Linked DNA regions of Rhinolophus ferrumequinum. The protein of the gene in region 1 purifies or fractionates together with the protein of each later gene. This does not show direct contact. Links are inferred from orthologs where the notes say so. Each region holds a gene or a part of one and is shown on either strand. Other genes may lie near its edges.

What was found.
Region 2: the proteins of ITCH (region 1) and CFLAR purify together in Homo sapiens (affinity purification with western blotting; 8 studies listed by BioGRID). This does not show direct contact. The link is inferred for Rhinolophus ferrumequinum from reciprocal best matches to the Homo sapiens genes ITCH and CFLAR.

Annotation. Positions count from the first base shown.
Region 1 is NC_046306.1:20,842,048-20,852,865, forward strand, and holds the start of ITCH (E3 ubiquitin-protein ligase Itchy homolog), read right to left. Parts: upstream 4,579-10,818; 5' UTR 4,417-4,578; intron 4,342-4,416; exon of another isoform or gene 4,231-4,341; intron 1-4,230. UniProt on the Homo sapiens protein: Acts as an Acts as an E3 ubiquitin-protein ligase which accepts ubiquitin from an E2 ubiquitin-conjugating enzyme in the form of a thioester and then directly transfers the ubiquitin to targeted substrates.
Region 2 is NC_046291.1:30,187,539-30,198,510, forward strand, and holds the start of CFLAR (CASP8 and FADD-like apoptosis regulator), read right to left. Parts: upstream 4,895-10,972; 5' UTR 4,477-4,894; intron 3,503-4,476; exon of another isoform or gene 2,920-3,502; intron 2,757-2,919; exon of another isoform or gene 2,685-2,756; intron 2,610-2,684; exon of another isoform or gene 2,457-2,609; intron 1,850-2,456; 5' UTR 1,812-1,849; intron 1-1,811. UniProt on the Homo sapiens protein: Apoptosis regulator protein which may function as a crucial link between cell survival and cell death pathways in mammalian cells. Acts as an inhibitor of TNFRSF6 mediated apoptosis.

The DNA of each region.
Region 1 (10,818 bases):
CAGGAATTTAAAAGCAGATTAACTGGGTGATTCTGACCTGGGGCATCTCATGAGGTTCCAGCCAAGATGTCAACCAGGGCTGTCGTCATCTTTAAGCTTGACTAGGGCTGCAGGATCTAATTCCAAAGTGGCCCATGCACATGGCTGGCAGATGAGTTAGCAGTTGGCAAGAAGGTCTCAGTTACTTGCCATATGGATTTCTCCACTGGGCTGCTTGAGTGTCCTTACAACATGGCAGCTGACTTCCCTCTGAACAAGTGATCCAAGATAGCAAACAGGAAGCTGAAATGTCTTTTCTGACCTAGCCTCAGAGGTCATACTGGCATTTCTGCGATATTCGACTGGTTACACAGGTCAGCCCTAATCATTACAGGAGGGGACTGGCTACACAAGGGTATGAATACCAGGAGGTGAGAATCGTTGAGGGCCATCTTGGAGGCTAGTTACCACAAGTGATAAAGTAATTTATCTGAGGTCAGAAATATGGGAAGTATTACAGGGGGGCTTTGAACCCAGGCAGTTACTATGTCACAGTAAATATTGTCTTAAAGGAGTACAGGCAGGCAGGTACCCACAGGTCCCCCTTTCCTGAAGGTATTCATACGTGAGATCCTGTGCATCTCATTCCAGTGATTAGTGGGGTCAGACAGTTTATCTGATGTGTCAGATACTGTCAAAGCAATATGACTGGGCATGTTTATAAAAGATTGCACAAATCGTCACTTGATAGTCGACTTGGTGAATCAAAGGGAACCTGGATTCTGGCTCTAGGTTTGTCACTGACTTACTGTGTGACCTAGGGCAAGTTCCAGACCCTTTGAGGCCTTTATTTTCCTATCTGTACAATGGAGTAGTTTGATTGATTCCATGGGCCTCCAAGGTCCTCTGGCTGAGAGATTCTGGGATTCCATGCACAGTTAGTCACAGTCTCCAGGAACGCTGAAGGGATTTCCTCTCCTGTTTCCCTGGATCTCTCAAACCTTTGCCCAAGTGGAGTGGACCCCTTAGGTGCAAGGGTCACTTCTTTGGACCCAGGCTAGGTCAGGCCAGGCTAGTCAGCCCTGCTTTACTCACAGCTGGCTGGTACCATTGTTCCCCCATAAAGCTGGGCCCCTTTCCAGCTGCTGCTGCCCTCGGAGCAGGGGAAAGGCTCAAAGAACTCAGTTGTGTGACTTCCCTCCTCCCTAGGGCAGGCCTGGGTCACCCAACAGACTGACTCAGCCCATGCAGGGGAACAAAGGAGATGAGATATGGTTTAGGGAATTTGACATTTACTATTTTCCCCAAAAAAACTTCAAAGTAATCATTATGGGGAGAAAATCCTCTTACGTTTATTTTATAGTTCAATGGGATATCTAAAACTTGGGGTGAAGGCATTATAACCTTTCAGGGCCCTAGGGACCCATATTTTAATGATTCTACAATGCACATCTGTCTGCCTTTTAATATCTTTGAAATTGGGATGCACGTGACAGCTTATGACAAGTCATAAATAATTGCAGCATTTAAAAAATTATGTAGTATTACATAAAACAAAATAACTGTGCCTATTACAATGGTGGATCTTAAATTTTATGAAATATGGTAATTAAGCCCTGTTCTTGGAGCCTGGGCCCAATGGCACCCCTCCCTACCCTCCTCCAGCCCACTCCTTCCCCCACCACCCAGGCGTGTCCTTCCCCTGCAGTCCTCATCTTACCCCTGTGTCTCCAATACAGGCCTTCAAGCTTTTTTTCCCCTCTGCATAAGTCTCTGAAGTAATTTGGAGGGGGAGGCTGTGCCCCACTTCTGACCAAGACAGAGAGGTTATTTAGTACAGTGAAAGGGCACCAAAGAATGAAAAGAAATTTAATTCCACGAGTAATAGCTAACATTATCTTACATTGTGTAACAGGCACTATTCTAAGTATTTTATGTGTGTTAACTCATTTAATCCTTACAACCATTTATCGGGTAGCACCTAGTATATCCCGAGTCAAACTGAGGCACAGAGAGGCAATATAACTTGCCTAAAATCACATAGCTAGTAAGTGGCAGAGCCCAGGGGTAAGAAAGCAAAATGCCTTCTTTGCCTCAGAGGTAACACTGTCACAAATGCGGTGCATATCACGCCAGATCTTGTTTTTATGTATTTGTGGCATAAACATATAGAAAGCAACCATTTTGCTTTCCAAGGGGATCATGTGTCCTGCAACTAGCTTTTTGTACGTCCACCCTATAAATTGGAGATTTCTTTTCTATACAAGTACATATAAATTTACTAGTTCTTTATAACTGCTGCCCTGTATTTCCACAGTGTATATATTGTGAAAATACGTAGGCCCACATGCCCACGAGGTACCAGGCCCCATCCGTTGTGCTTCATGTGCATATCTCATTTCAACCCAACAGTCTGTGACCACTAGCATTCTTTCCATTTTAAGGATAAAGAAAGTAAGGCCTGGAGAGGTTAAATATTTTAACCGAATGAATGAAGCAGGATTTGAACGGAAAGGCCACACTTTTAACCACCGCACTTCTCAGTGCCTTCCTAAAGGGAATAGTCTAACTAATTACCCTGTTGGTGGATATGTAGGTTGTTTCTAATTTTCCCCCATTACAAACAATGCTGAAGTGAACATCCTTGCACATGCCTCTTCATGTCCGAACGGGTATCCTTCCTAGGGTTGGTTGTGATGGTGAAATTGCTGAGTCCAAGGCCGTTATATTTGCAATTGTGAGACTGCCAAACCTCCCTCAAAAAGCTTTTTTTTTTCAATTTTTTTTTTAAATTTATTGGGGTGATAATTGTTAGTAAAATTACATAGATTTCAGGTGTACAATTCTGTATTATATCATCTATAAATCCCATTGTGTGTTCACCACCCAGAATCCGTTCTCCTTCCATCACCATATATTTGATCCCGCTTACCCTCGTCTCCCACCCCCCACCCCCCTTACCCTCTGGTAACCACTAAACTATTGTCTGTGTCTATGAGGTTTTGTTTCTCATTTGTTTGTCTTGTTCTTTTGTTGTTTTTGGTTTATATACCACATATCAGTGAAATCATATGGCTCTCTGCTTTTTCTGCCTGACTTATATCGTTTAGCATTATACTCTCAAGATCCATCCATGTTGTCACAAATGTTCCTATATCATCTTTTCTTACTGCCGAATAGTATTCCTTTGTGTATATATACCACAACTTCTTTATCCATTCATCTATCGAAGGACATTTTGGTTGTTTCCATGTTTTGGCCACTGTAAACAAAGCTTCAATGAACATTGGAGTGCACGTGTCTTTATGTATAAATGTTTTCAGATTTTTTTGGTAGATACCAAGGACAGGGATTGCTGGGTCATATGGTAATTCTATTCGTAATTTTTTGAGGAACCTCCACACTGCCTTCCATAGCGGCTGCACCAGTCTGCATTCCCACCAACAGTGTATGAGGGTTCCTTTTTCTCCACAGCCTCTCCAACACTTGTCACTATTTGTCTTGTTGATGATAGCCATTCTGTCTGGGGTGAGGTGATATCTCAAAAAGGCCTTTCTAATTTACACTCCCACCTGCTTCCTCTAAGAAGCACACGATTTGGAGTCACCATATCTGGGACTGAGTCCTGCCTTTGCAGCGTGACTTTGGACAAGTCATGTTGTTGCAGGAATTAGTAGCTTCTCCCTCTCCTCCTCTGTTTCCTCCTCTTTTTTGTCATGTAGTGTTCCATTGTATGAATAGGCCACAATTTTTCTATTCTGCTGCTGATGAGTATTTGGGTTGTTTTCAATGAAAAAGGCTGCTGTGAACACTCATGTACATGTCTTTTAGTAGACATATGTATTCACTGCTCTTGGGGATATGAGCCTAGGAGTGTTTCTGAATCATAAGGGAGGCTTATGTTTAGCTTTAGTATGTATTGCCAAATAGTTTTCCATAGGACTTGTACCAATTTATTCTCTTACCAGCAACGTATGAGAGTTCTAATTGCTCCACATCCTCATCAACATTCGATATTATCAGTCTTTTATTAAAGTTTAGCTATTCTGGTGGCACTATGTTCTTTTAATCCTCATATCACCCTGAGAGGTAGATGTGTATGTAGACACTGTTGGTTAGTGGCTGAGTTCATCAACACATTCCTCTCTAGCTAACTTGCAGCTATGATATAGTTCTGGTCAATGAGACAGAAGAGACTTCGGGGAACACGCTGGCTTTCCTGAGAAAAGAAGAGACACTTCATTCCTATACCTTTCTTCTTCTGCCTGGAACACAAACATAATGTCATCCCTGGAACAACATATTCCATGAGGCCACGACATGAGGAAAAGGCCAAGAGAATCACAGAGACACGGGCCGTGACATCATCAAACCAGTGAAACAACACAAACAGCTTCCTGTGTTGTGACTGCCTGTAAGATAAAGAAGTTTCCTTACCTACTATTGGTCAAGTTCTCTACTGCTTGCAACCAAGAGCATTCTTCAGTAATACTTTGACTATCTCCACTTTACAGTTGAGGAAACAGAGGTTCCGACAGTTCAACTGACTTAGCCAGATGAAGGATTCAAGTCCAAATGTGTCTGACTCCAAATCATGAAATCTTTCCCCCCTGGCTTCCTAGGAGCCCAAAGAAAAAAAGTTTGGGTAAGAAACTTTTATGGCAATAAATATTTATCCAGGCACCTCGCTTCTTAAAGTAAAAGACTATGTTTTCCAGAATCCTTTTTAACTGGCTGTGGCCATACGATTGAGTCTGGCCAGTGGAATGTAAGCTGTAAGGTGTTGTGGTGATTTCTGTGATATTTGGGAGGCGGTGGTGTCATACCTTTCTTCTTCTTTTCTACTGCCTAGAAAGATGATGCAATGACTGAAATTCAAGCAGCCCTCTTGAGATGACCTTAATGATGGAAGCCACACTTTTATGATGAGAATGGTAGAGTGGAAAGATGAGCTTCTGAGTTTCTGATGATATCATGAAGCTGCCATAACAGTCCTAGACAGCCTACCTCCAGTCTACCTCCAAACTCTTTGTAAACGATATACTTAGTTCTTTTTTAAGCCACATTTACTTTTTCTTTTCTATTCTATGCACCTAAATCTAATTCTTGCTGATACACCAGCATTTAGTTTACGCATGAGTAGGTGACACAATTCTGGTCACTGGGGAAGTTTATGTCAAGTGCTAGGAGTGGGAGGGGGAGAGCACACCTAGCAAAGTTTTCCTTTCATCCTAAAAAGGGACAGAAGGAAGAGAAGGTCCTTTTCTTCTGCCCCTGAACATTGTCATAAGGATGTGATATTTGGGCCTGTGGTCGCCATCTTGTGAGCATGGGGAGCCAGTCTGACGATAGCCAATACCTGAGGACAGCAGAATGGAGAGAAAGGACGAACTTAGGTCCTTGATGAAGCCACAGGGCTGCCACTGAATTAATGTGCCCTGGAGCCACCCTATCGCTAGGTTCTTGTTACATGAGATAATAGCATCCCTCTATTGTTAAGCCCATTTTAGTTGGGGTTTATGGTATTTGCAATCAACATTCTTACTAGTATGAGCAGGCTGACTAGGTCTAGGATGTGGCCATTGGAATAGGTGGCTGATATGAAGTGGAGGTGAAGGCCATGGACAATCAGGAGGATGAGGAATCAGGCTGTCAAGGTGTAAGATGGGTTAACCTCATATAAAATGAAGTTGCCCAGGGAGATGGCAGGACTTAGGAGGGAGAGGGAGAGTGTGGGGCAGGGAGCAAAATCCTCAGTGAATGAAGGGGAGATTGGTAGACAGCAAAGCAGGATAGAGGGGAATGTAATTGAATAGCATGAACCCCAAAAGAGCTGAGGTTTTGATGTGAAAAGGAAGAGTGTATCAATCAGGATAGTTTGGGTTAAGAGCAACCACAAAAAGAATTATGGCTAATTTAGCTGAAAAATTATTTATGAAAAGATAATGGATAATACAGAATCTCCTGGATGTATAAAGGACCAGGCTTGGAGGTTACCTAGTCAAGATTAGTGCCCCGTAGCACAGGCCAGAAGTAGCCCTATGAACAGAACACTGGTGTCACCAACAGTCCAGACATGGCTGCCCCCACATAGAGTCTTTGTGGACCTATGAGTGTCTGATCAGTGGAGCCTAGGTCACATGACGTTACCCTAGCAGCAAAGGTGGCATTTGTAGTTTCTAGTATTGAAGGAGGGCTCTGTCTCATAGGGGATTCTCCCCAAATATAGCAAAGGAGTTCAGTTGCTAGATGTCCAAAAGGGATGATCAACACCCACTATAAGCAACAATATGCAAGGAGCACTGGGGACTGGAGAAGGTTCTGGGATGCACGGGGTTGTCAGGAAACTAGGGGCCTCTGCTTCCAAGGGCTCAGGAGGGGATATGAGACCACCAGAAAAGCCTTTGTGAAGATTAGGGTATCTCCCGGGACAAATTTTACAAAGCTCCTTTCCTCTAAGTGAAGTCACCCTCGAGTCAGGGCCCCGCATTTACTCTCGTACAGAGGCCCTGAATGAAGGAAACACTCTCAGACGTTCAAGAAGTATATGAGAAAAGAGGTTCAGAGACCACAGAGGAACTATCCCACCGATGTGGGAGAGGCTGGGATCAGGAAACCTGGAGCAGCAAGGGGTGATGGTCTGATTAAGCGTGGGAGTGGCTAGAGGCAGGGCGAGGGTGGGGCGGAGGCAGGCATTGAGCTTAGATCCCAATGGGCTGAAAGTCTTAGTGGAAAAGCCTGGTGCCAATGTCTTCACTCTGTCCCTTTGCTGGCAACATCTGCTGAGGGTCTCAGAGAGTTGGTAAAGGTGCCATGAGATTTGTGACGGGGCAACCAGGCCCTGAGCTGATCACAGGACACCCAAAACATGGCTACACTTACCTCCCCATGTTTGTGCCAGTATCTCCCAAGGAAGCTTCCTAAGCAGGGATTAAAATTAATGTCCTTTTCTATCCGTAGAGATGAGTCCTGGATTGGGAGAAAGGCTAGGCCTAACCCGATTTGTCCATTAATTTGCTGTGTGACTTTAGGCAAATCAGTCAACCTCTCTGGGGCTCAGTTTCATTGTGTCTAAAATAGAACATGGAATTGATCTCGGAGGCCCTCCTAGATCTACTACCTATAATTCTCTTACCTCTCCTCTCTAACCCTCCTGGTACGTATGTCCTGCGGGGCAGCCTGCAGGGCGGTCTGCGGGGCCTCTGGTCCTGTTCCCCACATAAGAACGCAGGATATGGCTAGGCCAAAAAGGAACACCCACGGAGCCATAGATCGGGAGTCATACCACTATATTCTCTCTGGCGGCCAGGTGAGACGCAGGCAGTAGTAGCCACCGGATCCGCAGTCCACCATTCACTTCTCTGCCTGCCAACCAACCAACCAATCAATGCAGCCCCGCAGTTACATCAGTAGCCAATTGGCTAACCGGTTACAGCCGATGGCCAACCAATCACAGTTGATGGTCATTCACTACCAGAGCCAGCACCTCCCCACGCCAGGCCGAGCCTGGAAACTGCCCTCTGGGACTCTGTCCCCACAACGTATGGTTACATTACATGAGTACACCACATCTTATTATCCTGTTGATGGACCTTTGGGTTGCTTCTAATATTTTGCATTTACAAACAGTGATGCAATGAATAGTGTTGTAAACGTCTTCTTGTGCACATATGTGAGTTTCTCTCATGTATAGACTTGGGAATGGAATCAGGGAGTCAAAGGGCATGCACAACTTCAACTTTGCGAGTTGTGGCCTCATGGCTCCCCAAAGTGATTTTACACATTTACTCCTCCCCTGTCAACAAAGCATGACAAGTCCTGGCGCTCCTCATCCTCATCAATACTTGGCACTGACAGACTTATTAATGTTTCGGTCGAGATATAACATATGTACTTGCCCTATGTGTCCAGCTTCATGCATTTTTACATTTGTTAAACCCATGTAACCTCTACCCGCCTTATTTCCAGACCACTCGAAGGCTCCTTCATGCCCCTTCCGAGTCGAGAGTCCCCAGCCTCCCAGCCAAAGTAACTGCTATTCTGCTTTCTATACATATAAATTTGTTTTGCCTGTTTTCGAACTTCATGCAAGTGGAATTACACAGCATGTGCTCTTTTATGTTTGGCTTCTTTCACGCAACGTGTTATCTGAGATTCATCTTTGTTGAGAGAGAGAAAAAGAGAGAGACACTTATTTTGAGGAACTGGCTCACGTGACTACGGAGACGAAGAAGTCCCAGCATCTGTCACCTGCAAGCTGGAGACCCAGAAAAACTGGTGGTGTCATTTAGGCCAAGGGCAGGAGAAGATCAATGTCCAGCTCTAGCAAGCAGTCGGGAAGAGAATGAATCCTCCCTTTCTCTGCCTTTTGTTCTATTCAGGCCCTCAGTGGATTGAATGAGGCCCACGCACACGCACAGGGGGAGGACAACCTGCTTTACAGAGTCCACTGATTCAAATGCTAATCTCACCCAGAAACACACTCACAGACACACCCGGAAATAAAGTTTAATCTGGGTACCTCGTGGCCCTGTCAAGGTCACACATAAAATTAACTGTCACCAAGGGTGAGGGTGGCAGGTACCCTTTGCCAACCACAGCAGCCACAGGAGGGGGATCTGATGCTGGGCCTGCCCCTTCCTTTTCACTCCCATGGTGCCTAGTAGAGGCTCTGTACTCAAAAGAAGCTCAAGAAACTTGATACAGTGACTAATATCATAGGGACAGCCCTGAAATAACAACAATTCAAAATTGAGCACCCCTTATATGAGGGGCACTAGAGAAAGCAATTTACATTCATGATTTCATCTTTCCCTCTTGACAACTCTAGGAGACTTTTTTATTGTCCTTTTTACAAAGGTAGAAACTGAAACCCAGAGAAGCCCCATTTGGTTCTGCCTTAGATCCTGAAAAAATGAAGTGTAGTGTGTGGAATGGTGGCCCCCAAAAGATACATCCATGTCCTAACTCCAGAACCTGTGATTGTGACCTTAATGGGAAAAAGGTCTTGACGCAATTAAGGAACTTGAGATGAGTTTATCTGGGTGGGCCCTAAAAACACAATTACCAGTATCCTCAGAAGAGACAAAAAGAGGAAAGAGGGAGAAGACCATGTGAAGACAGAGGCAGAGATTAAAGTGATGCAGCCACAAACCCGTAAACTCCTGGAGCCACCAAGAGCTGGAAGAGGCAAGAAGGATTCTCCCCTAGAGCCTTGAGAGGGAGTGTGGCCCTGTTGACACCTTGATTTTGGACTTCTGGTCTCCGTAACTGTGAGAGACTACATTTCTGTTGTTTCCCACCATCAGTCCACGGTAATTTGTTATAGCAGCCCCAGGAAACGAGCTCAGAAGGGTAGTGGAGAAGGGAAAGGAAACAAAGCCTGCAAAAGCTCATGCTCCTCCAACTCCTGGTGGCTTTCTGGTCCCATTTCCTCCTTTTTGCCCCCACTTCATTTCACTGCAGCCTCAAGGTCTCTTTGTCATTCCTGGAATGTGCCAGGTACACTCTCACCTAAAGGTCTTCATGCTTGCTGTTCCCTCCGCCGCAGACGTTTTCCCCAGACATTCTATGTTCTCTGCCCTCAGAGAAGCCTCTCTGACGTCCTCTCTAGAGTAACTCCCGTCTCCCGTCAACCCCATCCTTTTATTTCTCTTCGTGGCACTCGTTACCACCTGACGTTATATTTGTTCCTGATATGTGTGTTTATGTGTATAATGTCCCCCACTAGGACATTAGCTCCTCCAAGGTGGAGGCTATATTTCACTGCTGTATCCCTGGCCTCTAGCATAGTGCCTGGCCCATAGTAGGTACTCAATAAATATTTGAATGAATGAACAAATTATCTACTAATTGCAATGGGAATAAGGAGGAGGAGGAGGGCACAGATGCTAAGCTGTCATCAAGCTGAAGAGGCAACTGTGTGTGGGAAGCAGTTGGCTCTAATAGGATCCTTGGCGCCCAGCCCAAGCGTGATTACTAATCTCAGAAAAGTCTTTCTCCATGCCCCTCCACCTGGCTCGCCTCGTCTTTCCAGCTGGTCAGAGTCCCGAGGGGTTCATTTGATTCAAACATCCCTGGGAAGGTCTGAAAGGGTTCTTTGTTTCTACGTTTTCTCATTTTTTTCAAGCATCAAGCATGGACAGGCACCTTCTGGAAAATACACACACTCATGCACACACATACACACAAACTAACACACACGCTTGGCTATATCCCACACTCTCGTACACCTTCATGGCTCAATCTACCCACGCCCAGTACTAATCGTGCACCTCTGTGGACACACACTCACACTTGGTCTTAGGCATTCGTATTCCTGACTCACACACTCACACACATCCATAGTCCCGCACATGCTCTCGTGTACACAGCCAGACCTCCACCCAATTTCCTACCTACACACCCACTCATACTGACATACACACTCATTCAGCTCCTGTGGGCACGTGCGTGTGGATCCATCTGCACACACATCTTTGAACACACCTCTAGGCTTCCTGACACACATACAAACAGGTAAGCCTGTTGTGGTGAACCACACCAGTCAGAGCTTAGCGTGATCTGTCCCAACAACAGTGATACCCACTGAGCACCAGCCATGTGCCAGGTACTCTGCACTTTGGGTCCTTATCTTGTTCAATCCTCACAACAATCACATGAAGTAAGTGTTACTATCAGCCCCATTTTATAGATGAGAAAAACTGAGACTCAGAGCCATCAGTGGTAGAGCTGGGATACTAAGCCAAGCATCTGACTCCACAGGTTACCCCCTTAGTTGGTGTGACAGAATGTATTGTTCAAAAAGGATCACAATGACACCTCATCCATCCCTCATGC
Region 2 (10,972 bases), on another chromosome or scaffold:
AGTCCTCTGTAGATGTAATTAATTCTCCTAGAATAAACTCAAAAATGCCTAAAATGTAAAGTATTTTTTCCTCAAATAGGACAGTCATCTCAAAATTACTAATTATTAATTAGTAATTTTATATCCTCAAAATTACTAATACCTTGGGGCGGCCGGATGGCTCAGTTGGTTAGAGCACGAGCTCTTAACAACAGGGTTGCCAGTTCGATTCCCACATGGTCCAGTGAGCTGTGCCCTCCACAACTAGACTGAAGGATAAAGACTTGACTTGGAGCTAATGGGCCCGGGAAAAACACACTGTTCCCCAATATTCCCCAATTAAAAAATTAAAAATTACTAATACCTTGCATGAGATAAGTTTAATACTCAGCTAATCTGCCATGAGCTATTGCTGTATTCACTCACATTATTACAAAAAAGCCAGAGAATGTGTGACATTTACTGCATTCATCAATTTACTATGAGGCTTTAATTTCCTTGGGAAAACAAAACAAAACAAAACAGGCCAAGTTGTCTGAGTTTAAGCAGTATCTGTCTCTTGCCTACTCTTTAAGACAAAGATCATTAACTTTAAAAACTATTTTTGAAAGCCTCAAGTAAAAAAAAAAAAATACATACATACATATATATATATATATATATATATATATATATATATATATATACACACACATGCCAAAGGGAAGATCCAAAGGAAGTTCAAGAAAAAATTCAATGTATGTCAACTGTAATTGATAACTTTTTTAAAGAAAAAAATTTAAGAATTCACAGGTAGATAAAGAAGCTTTAGTTCTTACTTGTAAAATCAGATGTTAAAAGGAAGTCATTAGGCTGGGAAACATTTGAAACCTTGGAGCCAGTAGCTATAAGAATTTTTTCAATTACATTGTAAAACTGAGGTATATAAATAACAATGGGTTAATTTCTCCAATTGAAGAGTTCACTGCATATCTTGAATATGCAGGTAAATTAGGTATCAAATTGGTGGAGATTAGTTCTTTCATAAGTACTGAATTGCTAAAGATGAAAACTCAATATCTAAAATAAGAGAAAAATAAAGAAGTTTTTTGTCTGTTTTGCACAAGAACTTAAATGGTCAAATAAACAACTTAAGCAGCCAAAAGAACTTACGTGGCCTAAAGTGGAGACCATCAAAGAAACAGACGTACAGAACAAGGTACAAAGTGGTGAAAAGCAGAGTTTTATCTGTAAAGATTCAAGAATATAGGTATATGTTATATATTACATAAATTTGTATGTGGATGGGATGAAAGAAGAAATTAGTTCTCTAAATGCAGAATTGAGGAGGGAGGAAAAACATTCGGACATCTGAACAAGCAGATTCATGAAATGTAAATTGTTGATACACATTCTTAAAAAACAAGAAAAGTAGTCAGAAGAAAAAATCTTTCATTAGAAACACTGATGCCAGAGGAGAGGGAAATTACACGTGGGAAAAGCAGAGTATTAACAGAAAAAAAACACAAAACAGTAGTTCTGAAATACAGTTGGAGAAACAGCACCATACAAAATAAAGCAAAACATATATTTTTTAAAGACATTTAAAAGACTGTATTTGAGTGCATACATTTCTGAAAAAGACACTAAACAGCAACCTTTGGTTATCTTAGATAATGGACTCCTAGGGGCTTTCTCTATTTACTTTGAATGTATTTTAACTCCGATAATTATAATACAATTTGAAAAGTTTTTGAAGAAAAAGTATGCCAATACAGTGTGTTAAGTGCAATCCTATGGTAAGTGCAAAAATAGCCACTGAGTATATGCAAGCATAGAGTAAAGGAACCCACCGTGAATTGTGAAGTCTTCCTAGAGAAGGTGACAGGAGCTGAATGTAAATGAAATAGGGCATATCAATAATAAGTGTTTCTTGCCTCACTGATTTATAGTAAAGAAAGCAAGGACCAAGTGACAGTACACGTTGACAGCTCTGTGACCTGCCATTATTTCCCCAGTCTGGCCCAACTGGTTTCTTCCTTCCCGTTCCAGTCTGTCCGTGGCAAGTTATCTGCGTAGGTCTCCCCAACCACTCTGTGAGCTTCCAGCAGGCGCAAGGAACCAAGTTCAGATCTATGCCTGTGTTCTCACACCCAGAACTCTGCCTGACCCAGAGAAGCTAAATAAATATTGGTAGGATTATCTTGAATTAAAGAAAAGGAGGCATTTCAGTACATAATGCGAGTTTAATTAGCTTTTGGGGCCCTACAAGGAACAAATAACCAAATGGAGTCCAATCCGAAAAATTTAAAAAGCTACACGCCAGGTTACTAGGAGCGCTGTGGATGAGTCCCTATGAGAGTCAAGGAAGCGCCAAAGGGCTAAAAGAGAGAGACTCAATCCTTTTATACCGGGGGACAATGCCCCGACAGCCCCGGAGTTCAGGGTGACGTCAGCACAAGAAGAAGAGGAGTAAACAAGGTTCTAGGTCTACTCACGCCGGGGCAGCTGCCGGCTCTTCCAGCTGGATCTCCACCTGCAAAGGCGCCCCACCGATGCGGGATACGATCAGACCCACCACTCCGAAAAACCGGAGTTGGAAATTCTCCAAACAGGACAAGGAACTGAACGTAGCGTCAGAGGCTGGTTTGCAGGGAGGCGTCCCGAAGCCTCTTAGGGCAGAGTTCCAATACTAAAAGCCTCCTCCAGGGACGCGCTGCTCACCTGACACTTCAGGTTTGAGAACCCTCCGCCCGTACCTTAAAAACTTCATCAGTGCACACACTCTTGTGTCTTCGGTGAGTAAACGCCCTTGGACGGGCAAGGGAGCTACGTGTAGCTCCAGGAAATTCCCTGCAGCGGGCGGTAACTGAGTGGGCGCTGCTTGCCCCACTACCTCACAGAGCGAGTGCATGACCGGTGGGCGTCCTAGTAACAAAAACACCTTCGTTTTGTTTCCAGTACTTACCGCCACCGCTATTAATAAACAACAACACACTACCCGCGACTATCCTCCCAACGCCCCCAGTCGCACAAGACTCCCAAGGGGGCAGAAGACAAGGGGCACCCAGTTCCTGCAGACCTGCCGGTGGATCCACCTAAGAAAGCGGGTGAAAAGTAGGGAGTAAAGATAGTTAAAGGAAGTGCAAATGTCAGTTACAAACAAAATGTAAAACACAGTCGTTAGAAAAAGCCATTTTAATCAGGACCTCCAACCCAGAAGCTGTAAGTAAAACAAGGGTTAAAATAAAAAAACGTCTGTTGGCCACATTCAATATTCCCTTCCAAGCTCGAGTCTTTTGTTTTGTTTTGTTGGAGTTGAGCCAAGTTTTTTTTGCTCCTCCTCTCAACGAGACTTTTTTGGTAAGATTAGAGGAACCACAAATCGGAAAATACCAAAAGTTCTGTTCCTCTTATCTGAATCTCTTACCGGAAGGGCCCAAACTGACTTCACTATCCATCCGGGTTTGTCTGTGTTCAAATACTTCAAGTATGCTATCACCTTACTGGCACCACCTCTCGGTTGCGTAAACAAGTTTAAAATGTCAACAAATAAAAACATTCGCCAGACCTTCAACGTCCTTGAACTTCTTGTTGCCTTGAACCAAAAACTTGGTCTGAATTTCAATGCCCTTTGTTCTATTGCAATCCACTGTTAACATTTTAAAACCCCGTCACCATCCAGCAACATCTTGAAAACACTTTATATTTATTTCCTAGTCCTCTTGGAGGGGAAGAGAGGAGAGTCCGGAACAAGTATTGGGTTTTTTTAAGGCTTTCTATAAATGTATCAGTCAGTCATTCTGACTTTCCCACAGCAAGCTTTCCTTGCAACTTGCCAAAAAATACTATATTAAAATGCTTTGAGGCATATCCCGCCCTACCTACTTCACCAAGCGAGTGAAATGTCCCGCCCGGCGGCTGCCTCTGCCGGGTAAAGGCGAGCGTGCACACACATTGCGCAGGAAAAAGTCCTCTTTTTCATCAACTTTTTAAAAGGAAAACTGCCAAATGTTTTGAACAGTTCACCCCAGGAAGTAACTCTCAAGATGATCTTAAGCAAAGTTTACAGGATGCTCGCGACCTGCCACCGAAGCTTGTTTCTGCTAAGGGTTATTTGGACCGGTGGATCCGGGCGCACCGAGGACCGCACTTGGGATCCGGGCAGCCTCTGACAGCCCTCTTGGGAATCCCGGTGCAAGGAGAGCGGGGCAAGGAGGTGGGTGCGGGGGTGCGTGCGGGGACGGGGGCTCCGCCCCAGCGGGCGCTCGTGGGCAAACCATGTATAAGGAAGCTACTGAACTGAGTCACCTGTCAGAAGACCCACCCCCCCATCCCGGACCCTTGCCGGGGAGCCCCCGCCCAGGGCCAGTTCCCGGAAAGTGCAGGTCGGGGAGCTGCGGCGAGGGACGGGAGAGGCGGCGCTCAGGCCCTGCGGCGACACAGACACGGAAACCTGCAATGAGACCTCTAGGACTGAGGAGGGTCGGAGCGGCGGGATTAAGCGCCTACACGTACCGTCTGGTCCACCGTGGGGCTTTCTTCCTGCAGCGAGCTGCCAGGCTTCGCTGTCCCGGAAGCTTGAGAAACGCAGTAAAAGGTAGGAAAGGAAACCGAAAGCCTGGAAGCGGACGTTGCGCTTACCGACGTGGCCTTGCGCGTGCACTTATCTTCACAACGAAAGTTGGGCGGGCTGACTGCGTTAGGGCCAGAGACCCCTTACTTACCAGCCCCCAATGAGTCCCCTTCAGTTGAAACATTCTCCTAGCCACAGCCAACCCACTGTTTTATCTTTGTATCCTTTGTGATATAAAGATCATAAAATATGCTGTGAACCCAGAATGGTTGTTTAAAGGAGTTCTGATTGTCGTTACGAACAAACACTGTTAGTGTTTTTTACTGATGTATACGAATAATAATAAATAGCAAGTGTGAAAGCTATTTGTGTTTTCATCTATTTATTACTTTGTGATTTTTTTAAAATTTAACTTAACTTGAAATAAATGTAAACTTACAGGAAAGTTGCAAGACTACCAAGAGAGTATTGACCTTGGAGAAGGAACATACCCACCAAGAAGGACTCCTACTGGTTAACTGGGCTCAAATTCATAATCAGTCTAACAGCGAATGCTGGCAGAGAACACTCATGCACTGGTTTCAGAGAAAAACCAAAGGCTGAGCTGCCAGCTTCCTGTACTGTTCCTGTCTTTTGAGACTACCCTTATAAAATCATATTTGGACCAATGGGCTGATACCTGCGCCCTCCAATAGGAACACTACACAGCTATGTCCTCATTTACATCTATACTAACCGATCAGAGTGGTTTCATAACAACCAATCAGAACACACGACCAGTGCTATTTGGACCAGTCAGACTCCAAATTTGGATTCATTTGCACTGTCTCTTTAAAAGGCAGGCCTCCCCGTCCCAGGGGAGTGCATTTACCCTTCTTCTGAGCACTGCATCTGCACAGTTTGCAAACTGTTAACTTGAATAGTGTCCTTTTTCCGCCCTCCAGATTGGGAACTCCTGTTGGTATTAGATTGCTGGCAGCTAGCTTATATCGTATCATATCTGGTCTTACATTATAGTAAAATAAGACCAGGTCTTATATTAATTTTTGCTCCAAAAGACGCGTTAGAGCTGATGGTCCGGCTAGGTCTTATTTTCAGGGAAACACGGTAACATATCTTTCCACCTGTTGCTCCAAAGCCCTAGTTCAGTGATTGTGCCTGGGGGGAAAAGCACTCCATAAAACAGATAGGTCTTAAACTCTTCCCAAAGGAACTGACTTTATTTGCAACACAACATGTTGAAATTCAAGCCAAAGGTTATTCTCGAAAACCTGGAGTTTGTGATGATAAGCAATTGGGAGGAGTTTCAAGGTGTGGGTTAAATTGTAACCTAGCTAGTTTGCAATGGAGAGCTAGAGATAAAGACAGGGAAAGCCCTCCTGGAATAAGAACAAACATTAAACACCTCATAAACTATTGTTTCAAAGGGCCACAATTTGGTTGGATTCATTTGTAGAGCAAATTATGCCAGAACATTATCGAAAATAACAGAGCAATCAGGGAGCATTTGAGATCTTGCTCCCTGGCATATGTCATCAGTTTGGCTTAACTAAACTTTTATAAAAATTTTCTAAGAAAAAAAATAGTAGAGCAATCAGTCAGCAAATGTGGAGTCTTAACAGCTGGGTGTGGTCGGGAAATAAAAGGAAGAGAGCTCCACCCAAAAACCACTGTAATAACAGGATAACAATATCAGAAATTTAACAGGAGTGGGGATAGACTTCACTAAAGTAATTTAGCAAATAAACAAGCAAAAAACAACAAAGTGAGGCTTGGGGAATGGGAGGAAACAAGTACCTAGAGTTGCTACAATATATTATCTAAAATGTTCAGTATTCAACAAAAAGTTACAAGGCATGCAAGTAAACAGGAAACCCATACACTGGAAAAATAGCAGGCAACAGAAACTGCTTGTGAGAGCAACCGGATGTTGGACTTATCAGAAAAAGAATTCATAGTAGTTGTTATAAACATGTTCACAGAACTAAAGAAAAGCATGATTAAAGAAGAAACAGAAGGTCTGATAACGTCACATCAAATAGAGAATATCAATAAAAAATATTAAGAACCTAGAGCAGGCATGTGACTGAGAAATTATAAAAATGAACCAAATAGAAATTCTCGAGTTGAAAAGTACAATAACTGAAATAAATTCATTAGGAACTCATCAATAGACTTGAAATGGCAGGAGAAAAATAAGCTAACTTTAAGATAGAGATTATGCAGGCCAAAGAACAGAGAAAAATGAAGAAAGCCTCAGAGAAATGTGGGACACCATGAAGCACACCAACATGTACATAATGAGAGTGTCAGAAGGAGAAGAGCATGAAAATGCAGCAGAAAAAATATTCAAAGACATAATGGCTAAAAACTTCTAAAATTTATTGAAAAACAGTAAATTACACATCCAAGAAGTTTCACAAATTCCAAATAAACTAAATGCAAAGAGATCTACAGACACATTATAGTAAAAATGCTGAAAGTCAAAGACAAGGAAGAAATCTTAAAAGCAGCAAGAGAAAAACAACTTATTACTTTAAGTGAATAGCAATAAGATTAATAGCTGACTTCTCAGCAAAATCAATATAGAGGTCAGAAAGCAATGAGATAACATATTCAAAGTGCTCGAAGAAAAAAAAAATTTTCAACCAAGCAAAACAAATTTATGAAAATAAGATTTGTGAAATACTTTCCCAAATAAACAAAAACTGAAATAATTTGTGCTAATATAGCTACCTTGTAAGAAATACTAAAGGAAATTCTTCAAGCTGAAAGCAAATAACCCCAGACAATAAATCAAATGCTCACCAAAAAAAAGGGCAACAGAAAAGGTAATTCTACAATTACAAGACAGTATAAATGAATATTTTTCTCTTATTCTTAACTGATTTAAAAAGCAATTGTATAAAATGATATAATATATTTTTGTGCCTATAACATATAGAAATTAATATATGTGAAATATATTTCCCAACACAAAACAGGTGGGTGGGAGCAAAGTTAAATGACTATAGCTGGCAAAGTAATAATTACAACAATCTATTGTTCGGTGTGTAACATGCATTAATGTAATATATATACAAAATACCACAAATGGGGGGAAAAGGGAATAGAGCCATCTAGGAGTAATATTTCCTTGTACTACTGGAACTGGCTAGTATAAATCTGAAGTTGCTTCTGATAAGTTAAGATGTATATGGTAAACCCTAGAGCAATTATTAAAATAATAACTCAAAAATATATAGTAAAAAATATTAAAGAAATTAAGATGATACCTTAGAAAATATTCGCTTAATGTAAAAGAAAACTTTTAATGTAGAGAAAAACACATAAGACATATAGAAAAATGTAAAATGGCACATGCAAGTCCAACTATATCAACAATCTTAAATGAAAATGAGCTAAATAATCCAATGAAAAGGGAAACTTGTTCGACTGGATTTAAAAAAAACAAAAACCTATGATCCAATTATAACTGCCTACAGGAGACACTTTCAATTCAGAGATACAAAGGGATTGAAAATAAAAATATGCAAAAAGATATAACATGCAAACAGCAACAACAAGAGAGATGGAGTGGCCATATTGATATCAGGCAGCATAGAATTTAAAACAAAAAATATTACTAGAGGTACAGAGGGACATCTTATTACAATAAAAGTGTCGATCCATCAGATAAATATAATCATTATAAACATACAAGAATTTAATAACAAAACATCAAAATACATGAAGCAAAGCTGGGAGAAATAAAGGGGAAATTATTTTCACAATAATAGCTGGAAACTTAGACACTCCATTTTCAATAATGGATAGAACAACTAAACAATCCACAAAGAAACAGAATGCTTGAGCAACACTATAAAACAACTAGACCTAACTCACAGCTGTAGAATGCTCCACACAACAGAATATACATTATCAATTATACATGAATATACACAGTGAAGTGCACAATGGAACATTCTCCAAGATAGACCAACTGGTAGGCCATAAAACAAACCTCAATAAATTTAAAGGGATAAAAACAATGTAAAGTATGTTCTCTGACTACAACAGAATTAAATAGAAGTCAATAACAGGAAAGATTGGTAAAACTCACAAATATGTGGAAATAAAACAACACACTCCTAAGTAACCACTGTGTCAAAGAAGTCATAAGAAAAACCTGAAAATACTTTGAGATGAATGAAAATCAAGTGCAACATACCAAAACTTATGGGGTGCAACTAGAGCACTGCGTAGAAAGAAATTTATAACTATAAATGCCTCTACTAAGCAAAAAGAAGAATCTCAAATTGATAACCTAATCTTCCACCTTAAGTAAGACACTAGAAAAAGAACAAACTAAACTTAAAGCAAGCAGAAGGAAAGAAATAATAAAGATTTAAAGTAGAAATTAATAAAATATAGAATAGAAAAACAATAGGGAAAGTCAATTAAACCTAAAGCCAATTTTTTTGAAAAGGTGAACAAAATTGACAAATCTTTAGCTAGATTGACCAAGGAGGAGAAAAAGACTCAAATTACTGAATCAGAAATGAAAGAGGGGATATTACTACTGATCCTACAGAATAAAAAGGCTTATAAAGGAACACTATGAATAATTGTACACCAACAATTTAAATAACCTAGATGAAATGGACCAATCCCTAGAGAGACACTAACTACCAAAACTGACTCAAGAATAAATAGACAATACGAACGATCTATGAAAAGTGAAAAGATTGCATAAGTTATTGAAAATCTACCCAAAAATAAAGCCCAGACCTAGACAGATTAACTTGTGAATTCTACAAAACATTTAAGGAAAATTAAATCTAATTCTTCATAAACTCTTCCAAATAACAGAAGAGGAGTGTATTAGTTTGCTAGGGTTGCCATAACAAAATACCATAGACTAGGTAGCTTAAACAACAGAAACTTATTTCTCACAGTTGTGGAGGCTAGAAGTCCAAAATCAAGATGTTGGCAAGTTTGGTTTCTTCTGAGGCCTCTTTCCTTGGCTTGCAAATGACAGCCTTCTGTGTCTTCTCATGTTCTTTCCTCTGTATACACACTTCTTTAGTGTCTTTCTATCTGTTCAAATATTCTCTTCTTGTAGGGATACCAATCAGATTGTATTAAAGCCCATCCTAATCGCCTCATTTTAACTTCATCACCCCTTTTTCTTATCTCTGAATATAGTAACATTCTGAGGTACTGGGAGTTAGGGCTTCAACATATGAATTGGGGGGTAAAGGTGGTGGACAAAATTCAGCCCAGAAAAAGGAGGGAACACTTTCCAACTCAGCTTATGAGGCCTTATTACCATGATACCAAGACCAGACAAAGATATCACTGCCAAAGAAAACCACGAACCAATATGTCATGTATATAGATGCAAAAGTTCTCAACAAAATACTTTAAACGTTTTACCACTTATGTATGCATCTCTAAGCAGTATAGCTTAGTTTTTGGCTGTTTTTGCATTGTTTATGAATGAAAACAAACCTTATTCTTTTTGTTTTCCTTTTTCCATAAATGGAATATTGCTTAACAGTAAAAGAGAACTAACTATTGATTCATGCAATAACATGGAAAATTATGCCTGATATGCTTGCTAAAGTGTTTAGGGAACATACACTGATGTCTTTCAAATACATCAGAAAATAAGATGGATAAATAAGATGTGTTAAAGCAAGTGTAGTAAATTGAATGGTATAATCTAGTGGTAGGTATGTGGGTGTTCACTGTAAAATTCTTTCAGTTTTGCTTTATAATTGAACATTTTTATAACAAAAGATTGGGAAAGAAAACATTGTGCTGATTGAAAGAATTCAGACACACAAAAAGTACATATTGTATGTACTTTACACAAAACTTTAGAACAGACAAAACAAATCTGTAGCGACAGAGGGTACATCAGTGGTGGCCCGCAAGGAGAAATGTTAATTATCAAGGGGCATGAGGAAAATTTTGGAGTGATGGAAATATTCTATGTATTGATTAGATGGTAGTTACATAGGAGGATGCATTTCTCAAAAATTACTGAACTGAGGGCGGCCTGGTGGCTCAGTTGGTTAGAGTGCAATGCTCATTATTAATACCAAGGTCACTGGCGATTCCCACATGGGCCAGTGAGCTGTGCCCTCCACAACTAGGTTGAAAAACAACGACTTGACTTGGAGCTGATGGGTCCTGGAAAAACACACTGTTTCCCAATTAAAAAAAAAAAAAGTTACTGAATTGTACACCTAAAATGAGTTATTTATTTATGTAAATTACACAATGATAAAGTTGATTTTAAATCAAACAGGCAAATAAAAGTAGATGGGAAGCTCTGAGTTCCTAAGTGGGTCTAATCCATTCTAAGCATCTCAGTGGACAATCTAGCTGAGCTATTTCTTTGGGGAAACTTCCTCGTCAGTATTTTCAAAATGTTTCTTTTAAATTGGT